Arabidopsis thaliana: one gene and its partners. The protein of the gene in region 3 binds, or shares a complex with, the protein of the main gene of each other region. Each region holds a gene or a part of one and is shown on either strand. Other genes may lie near its edges.

What was found.
Region 1: AT2G43030 (region 3) and emb2184 share a complex: the UniProt entries of both Arabidopsis thaliana proteins name them as parts of the 50S ribosomal subunit.
Region 2: AT2G43030 (region 3) and AT5G47190 share a complex: the UniProt entries of both Arabidopsis thaliana proteins name them as parts of the 50S ribosomal subunit.
Region 4: AT2G43030 (region 3) and EMB3136 share a complex: the UniProt entries of both Arabidopsis thaliana proteins name them as parts of the 50S ribosomal subunit.

What each region holds. Positions count from the first base shown.
Region 1 is NC_003070.9:28,269,418-28,273,790, forward strand, and holds emb2184 (Ribosomal protein L31), read left to right. Parts: upstream 1-2,653; 5' UTR 2,654-2,745; coding exon 2,746-2,814; intron 2,815-2,904; coding exon 2,905-3,270; 3' UTR 3,271-3,592; downstream 3,593-4,373. Other genes in the region: AT1G75340 (Zinc finger C-x8-C-x5-C-x3-H type family protein), read right to left, coding at 51-273, 354-439, 546-638, 739-816, 912-1,129, 1,241-1,334, 1,425-1,520, 1,625-1,719 and 2 more. UniProt on the Arabidopsis thaliana protein: Binds the 23S rRNA.
Region 2 is NC_003076.8:19,163,194-19,168,574, forward strand, and holds AT5G47190 (Ribosomal protein L19 family protein), read right to left. Parts: upstream 2,943-5,381; 5' UTR 2,872-2,942; coding exon 2,842-2,871; intron 2,753-2,841; coding exon 2,423-2,752; intron 2,252-2,422; coding exon 2,165-2,251; intron 2,077-2,164; coding exon 1,943-2,076; intron 1,348-1,942; coding exon 1,239-1,347; 3' UTR 991-1,238; downstream 1-990. Other genes in the region: AT5G47180 (Plant VAMP (vesicle-associated membrane protein) family protein), read right to left, coding at 12-72; RAB1A (RAB GTPase homolog 1A), read left to right, coding at 3,836-3,849, 4,273-4,345, 4,568-4,615, 4,700-4,747, 4,844-4,915, 5,003-5,158, 5,253-5,356. UniProt on the Arabidopsis thaliana protein: Located at the 30S-50S ribosomal subunit interface and binds directly to 23S ribosomal RNA.
Region 3 is NC_003071.7:17,892,601-17,897,154, reverse strand, and holds AT2G43030 (Ribosomal protein L3 family protein), read right to left. Parts: upstream 2,360-4,554; 5' UTR 2,258-2,359; coding exon 1,442-2,257; 3' UTR 1,273-1,441; downstream 1-1,272. Other genes in the region: NPG1 (tetratricopeptide repeat (TPR)-containing protein), read left to right, coding at 1-450, 541-688, 778-1,106; PAO2 (polyamine oxidase 2), read right to left, coding at 2,715-3,453, 3,534-3,631, 3,722-3,824, 3,920-4,005, 4,120-4,207, 4,299-4,412, 4,509-4,554. UniProt on the Arabidopsis thaliana protein: One of the primary rRNA binding proteins, it binds directly near the 3'-end of the 23S rRNA, where it nucleates assembly of the 50S subunit.
Region 4 is NC_003076.8:4,338,642-4,342,959, reverse strand, and holds EMB3136 (Ribosomal protein L10 family protein), read right to left. Parts: upstream 1,699-4,318; 5' UTR 1,667-1,698; coding exon 1,004-1,666; 3' UTR 865-1,003; downstream 1-864. Other genes in the region: AT5G13520 (peptidase M1 family protein), read left to right, coding at 1-153, 550-843; AT5G13500 (Hyp O-arabinosyltransferase-like protein), read right to left, coding at 2,133-2,195, 2,538-2,651, 2,801-2,872, 3,002-3,071, 3,177-3,274, 3,441-3,642, 3,723-3,790, 3,895-4,284. UniProt on the Arabidopsis thaliana protein: This protein binds directly to 23S ribosomal RNA.

The DNA of each region.
Region 1 (4,373 bases), on a different chromosome or scaffold from region 3:
ACAACGGTTTTTAACTATAGAAAAAACCTGGAAACAGATTGAGGACTTACCCGGAAGATGTATTTGTCGTGTTTATAGCAGGAGCAGTAAAAGATGCAACAGGGACATTGAAGTTGAATGCGGTCTGATTGTTCTGGGAAGTGTTTGTAGCCGGTGTTGGAGTTGATTGACCAAAGATGTTATTGTTTTGTGGAGTTGTGGCAAATCCGGGTCCAGGTCCAAATGATGCTGGTTTGAATGTTGTTGATGGATTGGTTTGGAAACCAGAGGGACCTGTGATCATTTGCAAAAGAGGTTTCAGATGATGGCGAGTCTCTTGGCCTTTAAGCAAAGTTTAACATTAGAAGTAGTACCTGAAGGAACAGGTTGAGGAGTGTTGACGCTGAAAGCATTTGGTTGTTTATTAAAGCTTGCAAAGGCATTCGGAGGTCCAGATGAACTATGTAGAGGAATCATTGGCCAGAGAGAAATATGGAAACAGAGTTTTCATGAAGGCACCCCTTTACGGAATTTGGAAAATGGAGAAAGCCCACAAAAGTTGATACCTGAGACCACCAGCGTTGGTATTGGAGAATGCAGTTTGTTGATTATTTGATTGTTGAGTAAAGCTTGCAAAGGGGTTCGGAGGTCCAGATGAACTATGCAGAGGAATAGTTGGCCAAAGAGAAATATGGGAACCAAGAGGTTATAAAGGTAACACAAACTTGTTTGAATATGGAATATGGAGAAAGTTAGTACCTGACTCCACCAGCATTGGTATTGGGGAATGTAGTTTGTTGATTGAAGCTTGCAAAGGCATTCGGAGGTCCAGATGAACTATGTCGAGGAAAAATGGAAACCGAGAGTTAGTTTGAAGGCAACACAAACTTTTTGGGATATGAAAATTGGAGAAATCCCACAAAAGTTGATACCTGAGTCCACCCGCATTGGTATTGGAGAATGCAGTTTGTTGATTAAAGCCAGAGAATGCTGGAGAAGGGGAATTGATCTGACTGGACTGAGGGAAGATACTAGGAGTGGTTGCAGCAAACGGGCTTTGATTGGCGGTAACAGAGCCTTTGTATGGATTCCGTAGAAAGTTTTCAAACTCGGCTATTTTGGAATTTTGCAGATTCCTCTCCCTTTCAACCTATATAATGCACCATAATAAGCCAGGAAAAGAGGAAATCAACTTATGTCTTATCAGTATGAAATGAAAACCAGTGTAAAGTATAACAAACACAAGAAAGGTTAATCTCACAATCGACTGTAGAGGTATTCCTCGTTTAGCTTCTTCATATGCCACTGCACGTAGTTCTTCATAGCTGATATCACCGGTAACATCACATGGAAAACTAGAAGAAAAAAAAGATAGAAAAAATCAGACACGTTTATAAAGAATGGATAAAGATCAAGGATGCTAAACCAAATGAAGTAATACATACTATTTCCAGTGGCCGTAGCATGTGAGCTTCCACATGGGTCTCTCATTCTTAAAATCGTCTTGCATTACCCGCTTACACGCAGCAGGATCTGTGCATCTTTGTATAGTAACCAAGAGAGAAACAGTAAATTTCCAAAGAAACAAACGGCTAAAAGGATGATAATTGATAGAACAAGCATATGTAAACATATATACACTCACTTATGATCTGCCGGCTGCGTCTGTTTACCAGTCTGCTGTGTAGAAGCAGCAGCACCACCACCAGTAGGTGTAGAAGCCGTTCGTGACCAAGTATTCTGATTTGCAAAAGCATCATCATGTCACCATTCATTCAACAGGCAAAATGCTTTCGTTTCTTAAAGAAGATGCACCATTTTTCTCATCCAAAGCCGAACGATAACTTGCATTCTATCAAAGCAATACTTGCATCTTAAAAGAGGAAAAAAACAAATTGACCTGGAACTGATTCGGTCTGCTGGAACCACCACTTTGTACACCAAATCCAAAAGGGTTCGAACTATTTTGTTGCTGCTGCTGCTGTTGTTGTTGTTGGTTTTGTGTACCAAAGCCAAAGGGATTATTTGGCTTAGCTTGTTGTGGATGAAGAAATCTACAGTTTTCCCCATACCTACAACTGCAAAAACAGCACAAAGGACGATGAGTCCAATAATTACGTCTCTAAGCTTCTACTATCACTAATCATAACTTCCGAAGCAAATCAACCCTCATTAATGGCGGAAACGAAGATTAGAATCTATCAAAGTCAATAAACTGTATGATTCATTTAGATTTCAGCTCAATAGACATCGTTTTCTAACACATTACCACCTTCGCACATCGATTGATTTCAAATTAAACCCCAGAATATAGAACACGAAACCTAAACTTCAGCAATCGAAACAAACTTCAAAAACTCTTATAAAACAACAAATTGAATCAAAACAAAAACTAGAACAGATGAAGAAGAAGATGATGATGATGAAAAGAGTATTTACCTGCCACGCTGAAAGTTTCTACACAGTTCCTTCCTCATACTCGCAGCTAAAACCTTCGAACTGTGTACGTATGTGCGTATATATATATGTAGTTTTGCTTCTCTCGAGAAAAATGAAGAAGCGTTAGATTGACGAAGAGTGTATCAACAGAACAAAAGGAAGTCTCTATGTAAATTACCATATTACCCTTACATATCTTCAAAGTATTTAGGGTTATAAACGTAACTCCAATACACTTCATCATCCTCATTCTCTTATCCATCAATCGTTACTTCGTTTCTTCTCTATCACCAGGAAAAAAGAAGAAGATAGCTCCTGAAGACAAAAATGGCGGTTTCTCTCCCGAACTCGTTTCTTCAGATTAGCCCATGTGTTCCTTCTCTGCAATTAAGAAAGGTAAGCTCGAAATCGATTTCTCATTCTTCGTCTATTTCTCCTCCTTCCCCAAAATCACTAAATTTGTTTGTGTTTTTTTTTCAAAATTAGCCGGTGATGGCGGCAGTGAAAGGAGGAAAACAATCGGTGAGAAGAAGCAGCAATACGGTGGTTCAGATAACGTGTCGTAAGAAGGAATTGCATCCTGAATTCCACGAAGACGCAAAGGTTTACTGCAATGGAGAGCTGGTGATGACTACAGGAGGAACAAAGAAAGAGTATGTGGTTGATGTATGGTCAGGTAACCATCCGTTTTACCTCGGGAATCGTTCGGCTTTGATGGTTGATGCTGATCAAGTTGAGAAGTTTCGTAAGAGGTTCGCTGGGCTTTCTGAGATTATGGAGATTCCTGTGCTTAAAGGAGAAATCATTATGCCTACTAAGAAAAGTAAAGGTCCCAAAGGGAAGAAGAAATGATGAGTCTTTTCTGGTAAAGCTTATGTCTTTGAATTTGTTGTCTTTTCAATTGAAGTCGAGATACTGCTTAGGCTGTTAAAAATTGTATGTGAATTTTCTTCTGAATGCTATTGGTTATGCTTTCTTTAAGATCTATTTGGTTTCATTGAGAGTGAGACTAGGATCTCAGAGCAATGATACAAGTAGTAGCGAATCTCAAGGACAAATCTTTAGCTTGTGAGTTTGGCATGAATTTGTGATGGATAATAGATAGATATACACTGGTGAGAGAAACATAGCAACAATGCCTATGAAATGGTAATTGCAAATGAAAGAAAGGTTGTGGCTTTTGCCACATTTTGTGATAATCTTGGAAAGTTATGGCATGAGATTAATGACTAGTGTAGGTAGTTGTTGTTGATGTGTAAGTGGTGTGTTGATTAGTTGATTGAGATCATTTTTACATAGATTTATAAGATGTTGAACATGATGATCATGGTCTATGTAAGTGTCTGCTGAAGTTATCAGGCAAAACATTTGTCTTCTGACGACGAAGTGGCGTACTAATAGTGAGCAGATTCTTGAACTGTGGCCATGGCGTAGGAGTATGTTTTGCTTGAGAACATAAAAGAAAATTTTTGGCACTTGAAGTTGAAGATTCTGTGATCATGCCCAATTGTATACTACTACTGAATTTGTGTGACCAATATTGAACAGAAACAGAATACTCCAGCTCAATCAGAGGTTTTACCAATATCAAGCCAAACCAATATCAGGCCGTCTCAAGCCCATTTGAAGACAGTCGAATGTGTGGGCTATTTTAGGCCCATTTCCTCTCAGCTGGAGTCTTCTGCTTCTTAACTAAGCTACCAAAGTTTTCACTGAAGTTCAAAAGGAAAACCTGTGGGCTTTTTAATCCGTTAGTAAATTGGGTTTTGACATCTCTACATACTTCATATGCTGATCGATGCAGTTGAATCTGAATAATTGAGTTAAACTAAATTCATTCGTTGGTTGAAGTCTTAGATCCTTTCTTATCAATGATTTGCGATCTTGACTAAAATTGAGTCTTAAAATATTATCTTAAAGACTTTAGACACACAAAAAGAAGGTGTTTTAAGATA
Region 2 (5,381 bases), on a different chromosome or scaffold from region 3:
AGAATGCTTACAGAGAAATTTGAGTTCATCAGGTTGAATGGAGATAAGCTGATTCTCGCCAACGCCGGTCATCTTTTTTTTTTGTTTGCTTAAAGCTACGACGACAAAAGTTTCACAATCAAATCTCTATTGAAAAAAGTATACAACAACATCAAAAAATCGAAGCCCTAATCCAAACAATTCCGATTTTATCTAACTTTTTTCCAGAAAAGGTAAAAAGAGGGGAAAAACTGAGAAATGAAGAGAGGAAAAAAAGACGGATCAAACCTGAAGAAAACAAAAGTCACGGTCCCAACGATGAGGGAGGAAGAAGCTGCTTATTTTTTTCTCTGGCTCTCCCGATAATCGCTCTCCACCAATATCCCAAAACTCTCCTCCTATCTCTCTCCTCTCGTTCTATTCGTGGTAACAAAGGCAAAAGAAGAGAGAGAAAGAGAAACGGGGAAGACGAAACCCAAAGGCGCTTCGTGGAGCGGCCACGTGAAGTCGAAGCAAAGTTTCCGTACGATTTTCCTCCGGCGTCGTCTCCGGGAACTGCGGGGAAGAAGAAAGAGCGAAAGAGAGAGAAGAGAGGGAAAAATGTGACACGTGTGAAAACAGTTGTGCATTGTAAGAGACGAAAAAACAAAGGTTAAAAGCGACAGGCTGGAAAAAAGAGGATGATGACGTGGCAGATATTGATTGGTGTTTGATTTTATATAGTGGCTAAAAAGGCTATAATGAGCTTTCAGGGTGGTAGGCCATTTTTCGTCTCTCACGATTGATGATATTTTAAATTTATTTCTCCGTGTCCATTAATGATTGATTGTTAGCAAGTAATTAATTATCGGACATAAAAGTCATCATACAGAGGAAAGAGACAAGAAAAATACTCAATCATTCGTTTCTTTTTTCCTGCTTTAGCTGGAAAATTCATTTACATGAATGAATTACATGATTTTACATGTAAAAAATCTATTTTGAAAAGCAATTTCAATGATTCAAAAGTTTTATTTTAATGATTAAATCAGTCATATTTCTGAAAAAGAATACTAAAGGGTCCAGATTCTACATACTCAAGATCAAAACAATCAACATTGATTTACTTTTCTTAAATTACTGTTACTGTAAATTACATGAAAAGAAATGAAATCCAAAAGACGAAACAAACAAACAATTATTACAAGAGAAAAGAGAGTAGCTAGCTACCTTTGGAGATTGAAGACAACACAAGACAAGACTGGTGTTGGGTTTGGTGATCATTTAAAAGTTGAGAGACGAGGAAGTTTGTCCCTCAGATAGTAAAGTCTTGCTCTTCTCACTTTCCTGTGACTTACCACTTTTATCTCCTTTATGTTGGGAGAGTATCTGTTAAATTCAAAACACACATCACATCAGATACATATTCTAAACCAAGATCAAAACATATTACTTGATTGTGTAGATTAGTATCTGTTCAAGATCAAAACATATCAGTTACATATTACTTCATTGTAGAATCAGCCAATAGTACTGGAAAGTTCATAGGGACTAGTATGTTATGATAACGGCTAGACTCTAGAGTGATTAAGATTAAAGGTTGGTGCGCGTTTCTGTAGTAAATAAGCACAAAGCTTGGTGACCTATAATGCTAAGACTTCCAGCATTTATGTACTAGTTCCTATAGTATCATACTTGGAGTAGCAATTATTTCCTTTTTTCGTGAAGAAAGCTAATACATATGATCAGATATAGAATTGTAAATCTCTTAAGTTCTCAAGAAGCGAAGACTATGACTGTTCACGATAAAAGAAGCTAATTCCGGTTTGTTTTAGAGTTCCTAAAATCTCTCTCAAAGCCAAAAGACTCCTTAACAAGGTCAAAGACCCTTAACTCTGACTATCTAATACTATTTACATTTATACTTATCAATATACCCGAGTAAGTGTGTGATAATAGGATAGTTAAGGAAGAATAAACTTACATGGGAAAGACGATTTCAACACCAATGCCTGCAATAATCCTCCGGATACGGATAGTAGTGTGGATGCCTGCATTTTGTCTAGACATCACAATACCTTTGTAGATAGATAGCCTACGTTTGTTCTCAGGAACTTCCTGTAAAATCAAACCCACCATGTCGTATCAAAATCTTGCAGTTAAATGCATAAATTGCATAAGATTATACGGGGACAATGAGTTTTACCAGTTTGATTTCTACAATATCCCCAGTCCTAAGTCCAGGAACCGGTCTTACAGTCTCTGCAACCTCAATAGCTTTCTTGTTCAGTAGCTACAGAAACAAAAAGCAAATCAACATTTCATTTCTCCAATGCCTAAAAGATAACTGATGATTTAAGAACAGGAGCCAAAACAACTACAGTATCAGACATGTATAATCAGATTCAGAGCCAAAACAAAACACTAGACAATCTCATAGAATCACATTGGATAATGAACTAACCCCCATGATATCTCCGAGCTTGACTCTCGTCTTCCACGGAGGTTTAGCTTCCTCCGCCGCAACAGTGGCTTCTCCTTCTCCTTCCGCTTCAGTTTCAACAGCATTCTCCACAACAGCCTCAGTTTCACCTTCAGTACTCTCTTCAGCTTTAGCGATAAACTCTTTTCTCTTCTTGGAATCGATGGCGAAACCAAAATTGGAGCTCGAATGATTGAGAAAAACCCTAGAAACTGATAGTCTTGAGTTCACTGATGATGCTCGTGGTAGAATTGAAGAAACCCCTAAATTCTTCGACGAGAAAGAAGGGGTTCTCGGTATCATATGCAATGCCTGGTTCCATAAATGGTAGATAAATACAGAATTCAAAGAAGCATAAGTATGAAAATGTGATTGAGCGTGAGAGAGTGAAGAAGAAGAACCTGAGGAAGAAGATGAGAGCTCGTCGCCATGTTTGCACAACCCAAACTCGAAACCAGAGTAAAGAAGAGCCTTATCGCTTATCCGCTCCGTGTATTTCAATTTATGGGCCATTTACTAATTTTATGGGCCTAGACATTTAGGCCCATATTCAATTGATATAACAAGAAACCCATTACCAAAGCTGGTTCTACCAGTCTACCACCACGAACCAAGGCTTGTCCAAGTACACTAATGTAGAACCAAAAATGGTTTAAATAAAGAGTTTCTGTTACAAACAAATGTATGTTTATGTGTCCTTAAATTGATAGCTCTAAATAATCTACTTTGGGCCTTTTAAAAGTTATGATTGACGAATAAATTTCTGCTGGAGTTGAAATATTATTCTATGTGACTATGTTGTATATTCAAGTCGTCTACATGTTCACGTTACATTGACTTACACCGCAAGCGATGAAAAGCTATTATATGTTAGTTTAATCAGAATACCAAAAAGATAATAATCAAAATATTCCATCTTCTTTCTTTGTGAAACGAATATATATTCTCTTACAGGTGGTTTAATTAAAAGCTTGACAACAGTACGTAATATTAGCATACATATAAAAAGTTACATTAATTGGATACGAAATTTTAATCTCCTAAAGATAGTTATTCTCCGATTGTATAGAATCAAAAAAGAAAAGAACAAAAATCGACAAAGAAGAAGAAAAAAGATTGATTGATTCTTTTGTCCTCCACGCATCTCTCTGAGTTGGCTCGGCCACGTCAGCATTCAAACATCAAAACCAAAACGCATTTAAATGTCGAAAAGAGTGGGTCCCTTTTTTTCTTTTTTCTTAACCGTGTCATTGACAAAAAGAGCACTTAATAAGCCAAAGCCACATAGAAGAAAAAAAAAAGAACATTCACGTCTCTCTCGTTTTTTTGGCCGACGACGATCGCTGAATTGACTGCCGGAGATTCCTTTAATCGTCAGATTCTCGTTGAGGGATAATGAATCCTGAATAGTAAGAAACTTGTCTTCTCGTTGTTTCATGTATCTATTGTTTCGGATCGATCCGCGTTTTTTATTTTTTGATGTGTTTGGTGATTTGGTTTTTGTTCGATTTTGCTTTGGATCTTTGTTGGTTGTTAGGTTTGTGAATTGAATCTACCTAATTTTGCTCGTTTAAGGTATTTTGTATTAGAATTTTGTATAGATTTGGATTTTCGTTCCATGGATCTTATACAGGTCAGATCCGAGGAAATTTGATCGAGATCTGCAATTTCTGTTTACTGTTGTAGTTGAAATTCGCGAGTGTGACACAATTTTCCCTTTGATCTCATTAGCATATTGTATATAGATGTTCTTGCGTTTTTATTTCCTGACCCGAATTTTCATGAGTTTATGAGCTTCACTGAGATTGGTGTTTACCGTTCTGTTGTTGCAGTGACTATCTGTTCAAGCTTCTGCTTATTGGTGATTCTGGTGTTGGAAAATCATGCTTGCTTCTAAGATTTGCTGTAAGTATTCCCACAATTCTGGATTCATCATCTCTGGTAGTTACTTTTTAACATTGTGTACACACAAAAATTTGAGGATCACATCTTGGAGTTCAATACCTGTTGCTCAAGACTCAAAACTCAAAAGTCATTACTCCATTGGATTAGCTTAGTTCTCACTATGGTATCATTGTTACTCCTTTGTGTTCTTATTTCCTGATATCTTGAATTTTATGTGGACAGGATGATTCTTACCTGGATAGCTACATAAGCACCATTGGTGTTGACTTTGTAAGCACCTTCATTTGCTCATCACTCATTTATATACAGGAATCAGAATAATAAGTGTTAACCTTTACTAATGATATCATGCAGAAAATTCGCACAGTTGAGCAGGACGGAAAGACCATCAAACTCCAGATCGTAAGTGTTCTTCAGCTAGATATGCAATCATAATCTGTTAAAATTTTGGAAAGAGCAGATAGTTACTCTTGTTTTGGTAATCGCCTGTGTATACAGTGGGACACAGCAGGCCAAGAACGTTTCAGGACAATCACTAGCAGCTACTACAGAGGAGCTCATGGGATCATTGTATGTACTCTTACTCTAACCAACCAATCATCTTCTTGTTAAATAACACATCCTATACCTCTTGCTCACAATTGCCTATCTTTGCAGGTCACTTATGATGTCACAGACCTAGAGAGCTTCAACAACGTCAAACAATGGCTGAATGAAATTGACCGTTACGCTAGCGAAAATGTGAACAAGCTACTGGTTGGGAACAAGAACGATCTCACTTCACAGAAAGTTGTATCCACTGAGACAGCTAAGGTAATTTTATAATAAACTAGGTGAACTCTCTATCCACGTAAACCTTGTCTTAAAGAGAATAACATTTTTGTTGTCTCATCTCCTTGTCCCACAGGCTTTTGCAGATGAACTTGGGATCCCATTCTTGGAAACAAGTGCTAAAAATGCAACCAATGTGGAAGAAGCTTTCATGGCTATGACTGCTGCAATTAAGACAAGGTTAGAAACTAAATTTTACTTGTGA
Region 3 (4,554 bases):
AAACAAGCGAAGGTTCCGACATCGGATTTTGAAAGATCTCGGCTGCAATCAGAATCATTGAAAGCATTAGATGGAGCTATAGCTTTTGAGCACAATAATCCTGATTTGATCTTTGAGTTAGGTGTTCAATACGCTGAGCAACGGAACTTAAAAGCTGCTTCCCGTTACGCCAAAGAGTTCATCGATGCAACGGGAGGGTCAGTGTTAAAAGGATGGAGATTTCTCGCGCTTGTTTTGTCAGCTCAACAACGGTTTTCAGAAGCAGAAGTTGTGACTGATGCTGCTTTAGATGAAACTGCAAAGTGGGATCAGGGACCTCTCTTGAGACTCAAAGCAAAGCTGAAAATCTCTCAGTCAAATCCAACAGAAGCCGTTGAGACTTATCGTTACCTTCTTGCATTGGTTCAAGCGCAAAGGAAATCTTTCGGACCTCTCAGAACTCTTTCTCAGGTTTCAAAATCTCTTTTGTTCTCTAATCTATTGAGATCATCAATCAAAACCTTTTTTTTTTTTTATTGAAGAACTTGTACAATAACACAGATGGAGGAAGACAAAGTGAATGAGTTTGAAGTGTGGCATGGCTTGGCTTATCTTTACTCAAGCCTTTCGCATTGGAACGACGTAGAAGTCTGTCTGAAAAAAGCCGGAGAGCTGAAACAATACTCTGCTTCAATGTTGCATACAGAAGGCAAGAACAAGAAGCCATTTAACTAATCTCTTAGAATCATCCATTACTTGATTTACTCAAATTTGGTTTGAATCTTTGGGAATGATCAGGTCGAATGTGGGAAGGACGAAAGGAGTTCAAACCCGCGCTAGCAGCTTTCTTGGACGGTTTATTACTAGACGGATCATCGGTTCCTTGCAAAGTAGCGGTTGGAGCGTTATTGTCCGAAAGAGGGAAAGATCATCAGCCAACTCTCCCCGTGGCTAGAAGTTTGCTCTCTGATGCATTGAGGATCGATCCAACAAACCGAAAAGCTTGGTATTACTTAGGAATGGTTCATAAATCTGATGGACGTATAGCTGATGCTACTGATTGCTTCCAAGCTGCTTCTATGCTTGAAGAGTCTGATCCTATTGAAAGCTTCTCAACCATTCTTTAAAAATCCATCATAAAGATTTATATTCATATGTTCATTTTTTGTCTGTCATCTCATGTACAATTTTAAACCTTCTTAATTTCTTCAAACTAAATATATATTACATTGTTCGTTAGTTCTTTATGTTTAGAACTTTAGATGCTGAATTTTGGATACGCTTTCGAGTTTTGTAATCGCAGTTGAATCACAATTCAAGAACATTAGCATAGAAATACTTCCGACTTATACAAAAACTCCAATTCTAAGAAAGAAACTGTGATTTAGCAATTCGATACAAATTTTCAAGGAATGGATAAACACAAGTCAACATTACAAAACAAAACAGAGTCTCTTCTCTACTAGTTCTTGGGAATGTTAACTCCGACGATTTTAGCGGGAGTAATACGAAGAAGATTCCCAGGCTTACCAGGCAAAGCACCTTTGATCATGACAACATTAAGCTCCTTATCAACTTTAACAATCTTAAGCTTCCTAATCTTTGTCCTCGTCCCTCCCATTCTTCCAGGCATCTTCTTCCCTTTATAAACTCTTCCCGGAGTAGTACCAGCACCAATCGAACCCAAAGCTCGATGACTCTTGGAACCATGAGTCATCTGACCTCTCTTGAAATGATGCCTTTTGATTCCTCCTTGAAACCCTTTACCAATTGTGGTTCCAGCTACATCAACGAGATCACCTTCTTTGAATATCTCATCGAACACAAGCTTCTGGTTCGGTTCGAATCCTTCGATGTTTGTTAATCTGAACTCTTGGAGATGTCTCATTGGGATTGTACCGGCTTTTTGGAGATGACCGGTTTCCGGTTTAGTTAGCTTTTTGTCGCGTACACGACGGTAACCGATTTGAACCGCGTCGTAACCGTCTGTGGCTAGGGTTTTGATTTGGGTTACGATGTTACCTTCGCGGAATCCGACGACTGTTACTGGAACTACTGTGCCGTCTTCTTCGAAGAAACTCATCATCCCGAGTTTTGACCCCATTACTCCGATTCCAGCTTCCATGGATGATGAAACCACGAATCTGGTTTTTGGTGATGATTTGATGAGAAGTGAAGAGGATTTCGCCGGGAGGAAAGTGGGAGTGAAGAGTGAAGAGGATAAGGTTGTTTTGTTGAGCAGAGATGGGAAAGAAACAACCGCCATAGCTATCGCCATTGTCGGAGATTCACAGAGGAGAAGAAACTCTGAGAGAGGATAAAGCTCTGTGCCACACTCTTATCTTCTTCTCCAGTTATGAAATTTATTATTATACCGCTGAAGATACTCATATTTACAAAACACGGTGGTTTACCTTTTGCAACATCGGTCCTTTAAATCTGATTTTATTCATTTTGTATTTTTTCTTCTTATTGTATTCAATTTAACCTCTTTCAAGATTGGTGTTTATATTAGTTAGCACAAGTGAGAAAAGAAAATAGTACTTGAATTCTTAAAGATGATTATCATATATAAATAATATCACAAGGATATAATGTTCCAATTTATTGAATTAAAAACACTGAGAAAATAAGACTGGGAATGTTTTAAACGATCCGACACGAGAATAATTTTAGTTTCATATTAAGACAATCATCACTTGAGGTTCCTTCTAGTAAACGATAACTGATGGAGTTTAGAGACGAGATATAAGAAGAGGTACAGAGGCAGGTCCTTCCTCGCCCATCACAGGCTGGAACAGATCCAACTCACCATACCGCTCCAGAACTCGCATCCTACAATCTTCAGCTGCCATCAATCCAGTTGAATAAGCGCCGTGAACCGAGCCCGGGAAGCTCGAGCTCGTCGCTTCACCGGCAAAGAATAAGTTATCCACTGGAACCCTAAGCCTCTCGTAGAGATCATGAGGTTTGCCCACGATATCATAGCTATAAGATCCCATTGAATTCACATCAGATCCCCACCTCGACACGAGATACTGTACCGGAGGCAATGCATCGGGAAGAATTCTCTGGAGTTGCAAGACGGCGAAATTTGCAGCTGCTTCATCAGACATTTTCTCAATGTCTTTGGCAAGCTGACCAGCCGGCATGTAAACCAGAACCGGATGACCCGTGGCCTTGTGCAGGTTCAAAAAATAACTGCAACCGTAGGAGGTTTCAGCTACCACTCCTAGAAACTCTACTTTCGGCCAAAAGACTTTCTCAAAATGTAGTATGATCTTGTTCTCAATACCTACTCCTAGGTCGTTGATTGCTTCTTGTTTCCACTCAGGTAGCTTAGGTTCGAACTTTATGGTTCCCGATTTTAAAACTCCAAGAGGGACAGCAATGACTGCAGCATCCGCAACAAAAGTTTGCCCGTTTTCTGTCGTTACCTTCACTCCATTGTACCGCCTGACAATCTTAGTAACCCTGAGAGAAGGAGAAACACGAGGTTATGACTGTGAAACACTAAACGAATGCCATAACTCTTGAAAAACGCAAAAGCTTACCTGTGGCCTACTCGGATATCAAGACCTTTCGCCAGAGTATTGATGACAGGACGATACCCTCTAACCATAAGACCGTGTCCACCAGGCAACAATTCCTCCTGCACATTTCTCGGAGTGTTAAACCAAAAATTCAAGAAGCAGTCTATACAAAAAAAACTCTTAACTACGAGAGAAAGAATGTAACTAACCTGGTCCCAACACTTTGCAGAGATGGTTTCAGCATCTGCGGCAAACCATCCTTCCATGCGGCATACATACCATTGAAGTACGTTGTGTGCAAGCCCCTCTAACCTGGATGTGAAAATTCAAAATTCAACCATGAAACCAAGCTTGCAAAAGTGCATTGCCTAAAGAAATTGAGAAAATGAGACATTATGTATACAAACCTCAGCTCGGGTTTCCTAGAAAAGACAATTGAGAAAGCCTGAGAAATTGAAATGTCAGCATCCTGCTCATCCCTGACTTTATTGATCTGTGTTTGCAATAGACGAATCTAGTTAGCATGAGCATCAATCAAAGACTTGCAACATCAAGAAATACGAGAATAGGAATAAAGAAGAAATCTAAATGAATGTGAAGGACATACCTCTTCCAAAATACGCTCAAACGTTACGCCAATCTGAGTTACCAATTCTTGAGGAACTTGGTTGCCATCCATATCAAACAGAGCATAGCTACAGAAACAAAAGAATTGCACTGTGAGTTTTAAGGTGTCAAACAAGAATAAAAAGATGGAGGTAACAAAATCGAAATATTCAAGCAAACCTCTCGAGATCATGATCATACAGGACGGAATTGTCACCGCTAGTACGATACAAGGGCAGTCCAAGTCTTCCAATAACTGGTGCGAGAGGATTCTCCTTGCATACTCCATGCAGCCTGTGACATAACGATGTTGCTGTGTTAGCCTAAAGTTAACCAAAAACCAAAACCAAAACATCATCTAATGACAGGATGAAAGAGCCGTGAGATTACCATGATGCACCAAGATCAACAGGAAAACCAAATGAGTAATCAGTGT
Region 4 (4,318 bases), on a different chromosome or scaffold from region 3:
GAACCAGTCTCAACCATTTACACAAAGATCATATCCCTGGCGAAAGAGTTTAAGGAAGGAAAGATGCCAAGTGAGGATGATGTTGCTGAGTGGAACGGACAGGAATGGGAGCTGTACTTGGAGAATCTTCCTAAATCATGTGAACCTTCTCAGGTACTCTTTACTCCTTTCTTCCTCTAAGTTAATGGGAGCTGTACTTGGAGCTGTACTTGCTGAGTGAATCTTTATTTCTTCCTCTAAGATAATGGGAAATGGCTTGACTTAGGTTGAACTACTCAATAAGCTTACATAAGGAGGAGAAAAAGGCCTAACTAACTGTCAGTTAGGTTAGCTCAATAGTTACTCTTGGATTAATGTGGGGCTAGTGAATAATGATTGTGGAAAAACCCTCTTGGCTTTGGGAGAGTTCATGATTGTGGAAAGTGTATTGGCTTTGCAAGAGTTAGGATCTTATCTTGTTTGTTAATGACAATGCTAGTCAACAAAGGAAGGATTGGTGATCAGGTTCAAACCTATGGCTAACACCCACTTTGCTCATTGATGAATCAGGTCATGGCCTTGGACAAGCGGTACAGACTGGCAGAATCGAAAGACTATGAAGTGAAGGTCTCGTTTCTGCAACTTGCAGTCACATCCAAGTGCAGAGAGTACCATGGGGAAGTGAAGAAAACACTAAAAGAGGTAGGAAGGATGAAGTACCTGCGTCCACTCTTCACTGCTCTTGCACAATCTGGTGGAACAGAAGAGAAGCAGCTGGCAAAACAGGTGTTTGCAGAAGCTCGAGAAACTTATCACCCCATAGCTCAGGGAGTTGTTGAATCTATCCTCTCTAAGTACATCTAAACAAGACCGTTATGATAGCTTGAGAGCACTCCGAAAAACAACATTTCAATAAAACTCAGTCACTGTAATAACAATTGGTGCTTGAGAGAGTCATAAACAAAAAATTGAATTGCCTTTTGTTGCGTACATTACATTCTCCAAAAGATTAGTACAAGCTTAACTATGCATTACTCTCATCTTCCAACTTCTTAATGTAAGCCATAAGCACCATTATAACCTCTCTTGCTGGTGCTTGTAAAGTAGTGACGAGATTAATAGCCGGAGATTGCAGAGCACCGAGCATCTTAGCGTAGACCTCAGCACGAGTGGGCATGGTCTCGAGGACTTTGAAATTGTCAGGAGCGTAGAACTTACCTTCGAAGACAGCGCCGGCAAAGTCATTGTTTTCAAGCTTGCGTTCCTTCTGGAAGCTCCGGTAGGGTTTGATAGCAGAAGGGATTTCATCGGTCTGGACGAAAAGCCAAGCGTTCATGCCTTTCATACAAGGCTTGAGAGCTTCCCATTTGGTGCCTTCAATGGCTTTGAAGACCAAAGTGTTCTTGGCGACGATGAGCTTTGTAGTGTCGGGGAGAGTTCTCCGGAGGTCTTGAAACTGCTTGACGGTGAGGCCTTTGTAGTTGATGGCGGCGAGGAGATGGCAGTTCTCCAAGTGAGACTTGACGGCTTCGACAGTCTCTTCCTTCTTGTTACGAGACACCGCGGATCTGATGACCGGGAGGCGAGGGTAATTTGGGGAATTCGAGGTTTTGGGTGTGAGAGTTGAGATTCGCTGGTGACAGAGAGGAGACAAGGAAGAAGAGAAGGAGAGAAGAGCCACTTCCATTTTTTTGCTCAGAAGATGAGGAGACTGTTTCTAGCTGTGTGGAGGAAGAAGATAGATGAACAACAACACAATCCTCCACTAAGCAATTTTATTTTTTTATTTTTCTTAAATGGAAAATAAAATTTATGGATAAAAAAAGGGTTAATAGACGGAATTAGTAACTCCGTCTAATTTAACGCATTGTGTCTTTTAGTCTCTGCTTCTGAATTCTGAACGCAATCCATTGGTAAACTAATCAAATAACTAGACCCAAAATAATTCTATTTTCTTTCTCGGAATTATGGAAGATGTCTCGTCTCGTGTCAAACAAATAATTTTGTAATTTACTACTCAAGTTCATAATTTAACCATTACAAGAAAAAACAGACAAGAAGGGAAGTAAAGGGAGAAGGAAAAAAAAATTAGGCAAAATATTGTTGCTGTATGGATTTGTCCCTATGGTTTGTGTTTTGTGTGTGGATGTGAGTTAGAGAGTGTCCCAATTAGGGATAGTCGCAGTAGCTTCATTCACCATCTTCACAAGTGTCACCTGCACCATCACACAATATGTTATTAAGGACAGTCATTCAATATTACGGTTCTCACTCTCACACTTGATTGACCACAAGCAAAACCGTAACTCCTGAAGATATTACAACTACTTCTAACAGACTTATGCATATCATCTCCCCGGAAAGTAAAACCATTGCAAATTCACAAACTACATCAAACTATGGACGACCATTTGTGTATGACGTTGCTATTTAGTCTCCGGAATCCACTAAACCAATGGACATGATACAAATAAGTTCCCCTTTGAGCTATGAATGGACCTTACTGCAGTATCTTGTTTTAAGCACGATCAGATTATAGAGGTTTATATATAACATACCACACTTTCGGGAACACCGGGAGGCGGCAAGGACATGTTCCTTGGAGGAGGACCCCGCAAATGTGATCTCTTATCGAATCGCCACTCTCCTATTTTGCCATATGTCAGCTCCCCCTGTATTTAACAGTCAGCAAAACTTAGTAGTGACTAAAAAGAGAACCTAATGACCTTAAGTAAAAACAAATGACCACAAGATGTGAAATCTGTTCCTAATTTATCAGCCAAAAATTAAAATTAAACAATCGTGTCAAACAGAAAATCACCTTCATGTTGTAGTCGCATCCATAAGTGTAATGAATGATAAACTTCCCCTTGGTAGACAAATCCCACGGAGGCTGAAAGATATTGTGAGAGAACTTAGGAATATGGAGCAGAGAAACAACTTTTGTAACTTTGACAAAACAAAAGTATCTTCGACATAGAATATGTTATCACTAAGGTATCAGCACAAGGTCGATTCTTACCTGAAGCATGAAATCCTTCCGAAGTATGTGACGCACCCCATGTATAGCAGATGCAATTGCGTAACCGTACCTTATCAAACAGAAAAGAGAAGAATAAAGTAGTCAGTTAACAATGATGGGATTCAAAAGGTGGAGAGCCAATTCATGATTTAAGATTCTTGTTTCTTGTGCTAACATTTCCAGCACCCATCCAAATGCCTTATCAGTTTCTGGATCGTTTTTCATTGTCAGCGAGACATTCATCCATGTAGGAGCAATCTTTTCAAGTGATTCCTGCATCAGAAAGTAAATGCATGTCAACATCAATTTTAATGCATGAACAGAACAAACAGAACATATTCCTGGACACCAACATCACATCTAGCTAAACGCCTCTGAAAATCTTTGGGGCCCAAGTCAAATAACACATATACAAACAGTATAGCACAGATAATCTCACCTTGCTTATGATAACAGGAGAGTTGCCAATGGGGTCGATATTTGTTACTGGCCCCATCTCCGCTGGATAATACTTTCTGACTATGTTTTCATACTTTTCAGGAGTAATATAGAAAAACGGAAAAGCGGCTGGGAATCCTCCAACAGCCAAATTGGGAAGGGGATTAACAAATACATGATCAGGCTCTGCCATGAGCACATAGCTGCACCAACAGTAAGATGCAGGAGATTTAGCAAACAGTAGAATGTTAGTTGGAAGGAAGAGAGAAATGACAGGACTTACTCTTCCTTGATGGTAGCTCTTTCAAGCCATTGCACGAATGCCCATGGTCTATTCAAGACAACATACCCCTAAATACAAGATTACAAGATTACAAAAAAGAGTGAATCAGTGATAAACCATCAACAAAAAGTGAGACCAAATGGAGAAACGGGAATAAAATAAAAATTCTTACCCGATCAAGACCTGGAGGAAGAGGATCAACCACAAATGTGGGTATTTCATCCATCAAGTTATCAGAATTACCGGAATGCAAAATACGGGTGAAGCCACCCATATCAGAACCAGGAAGAGCTTTCTTCTGCTTATACCAATAATACATAATACGACACTGCCACTTATTATAAGGTGCATCTGTAGCTGTTAAGGCAACATGAAAAGGTGCTGGAGAACTCTTGGCTTTCCTAATATTTAGAGGCATCTGAACAACAGGATCCAGAAGTGGACTTCCATCTGAATTACTCACACCAGATCTATTGTGAACTATAAGTGTCAGAAGATTATATGTGACAACAAAGAACCCAAAACCCAAGAGAAACAGAAGCAAGCCTGATGCTTTTCCCATTTGTTTATTCTCAAATCAAGCTAAATTACAAAGC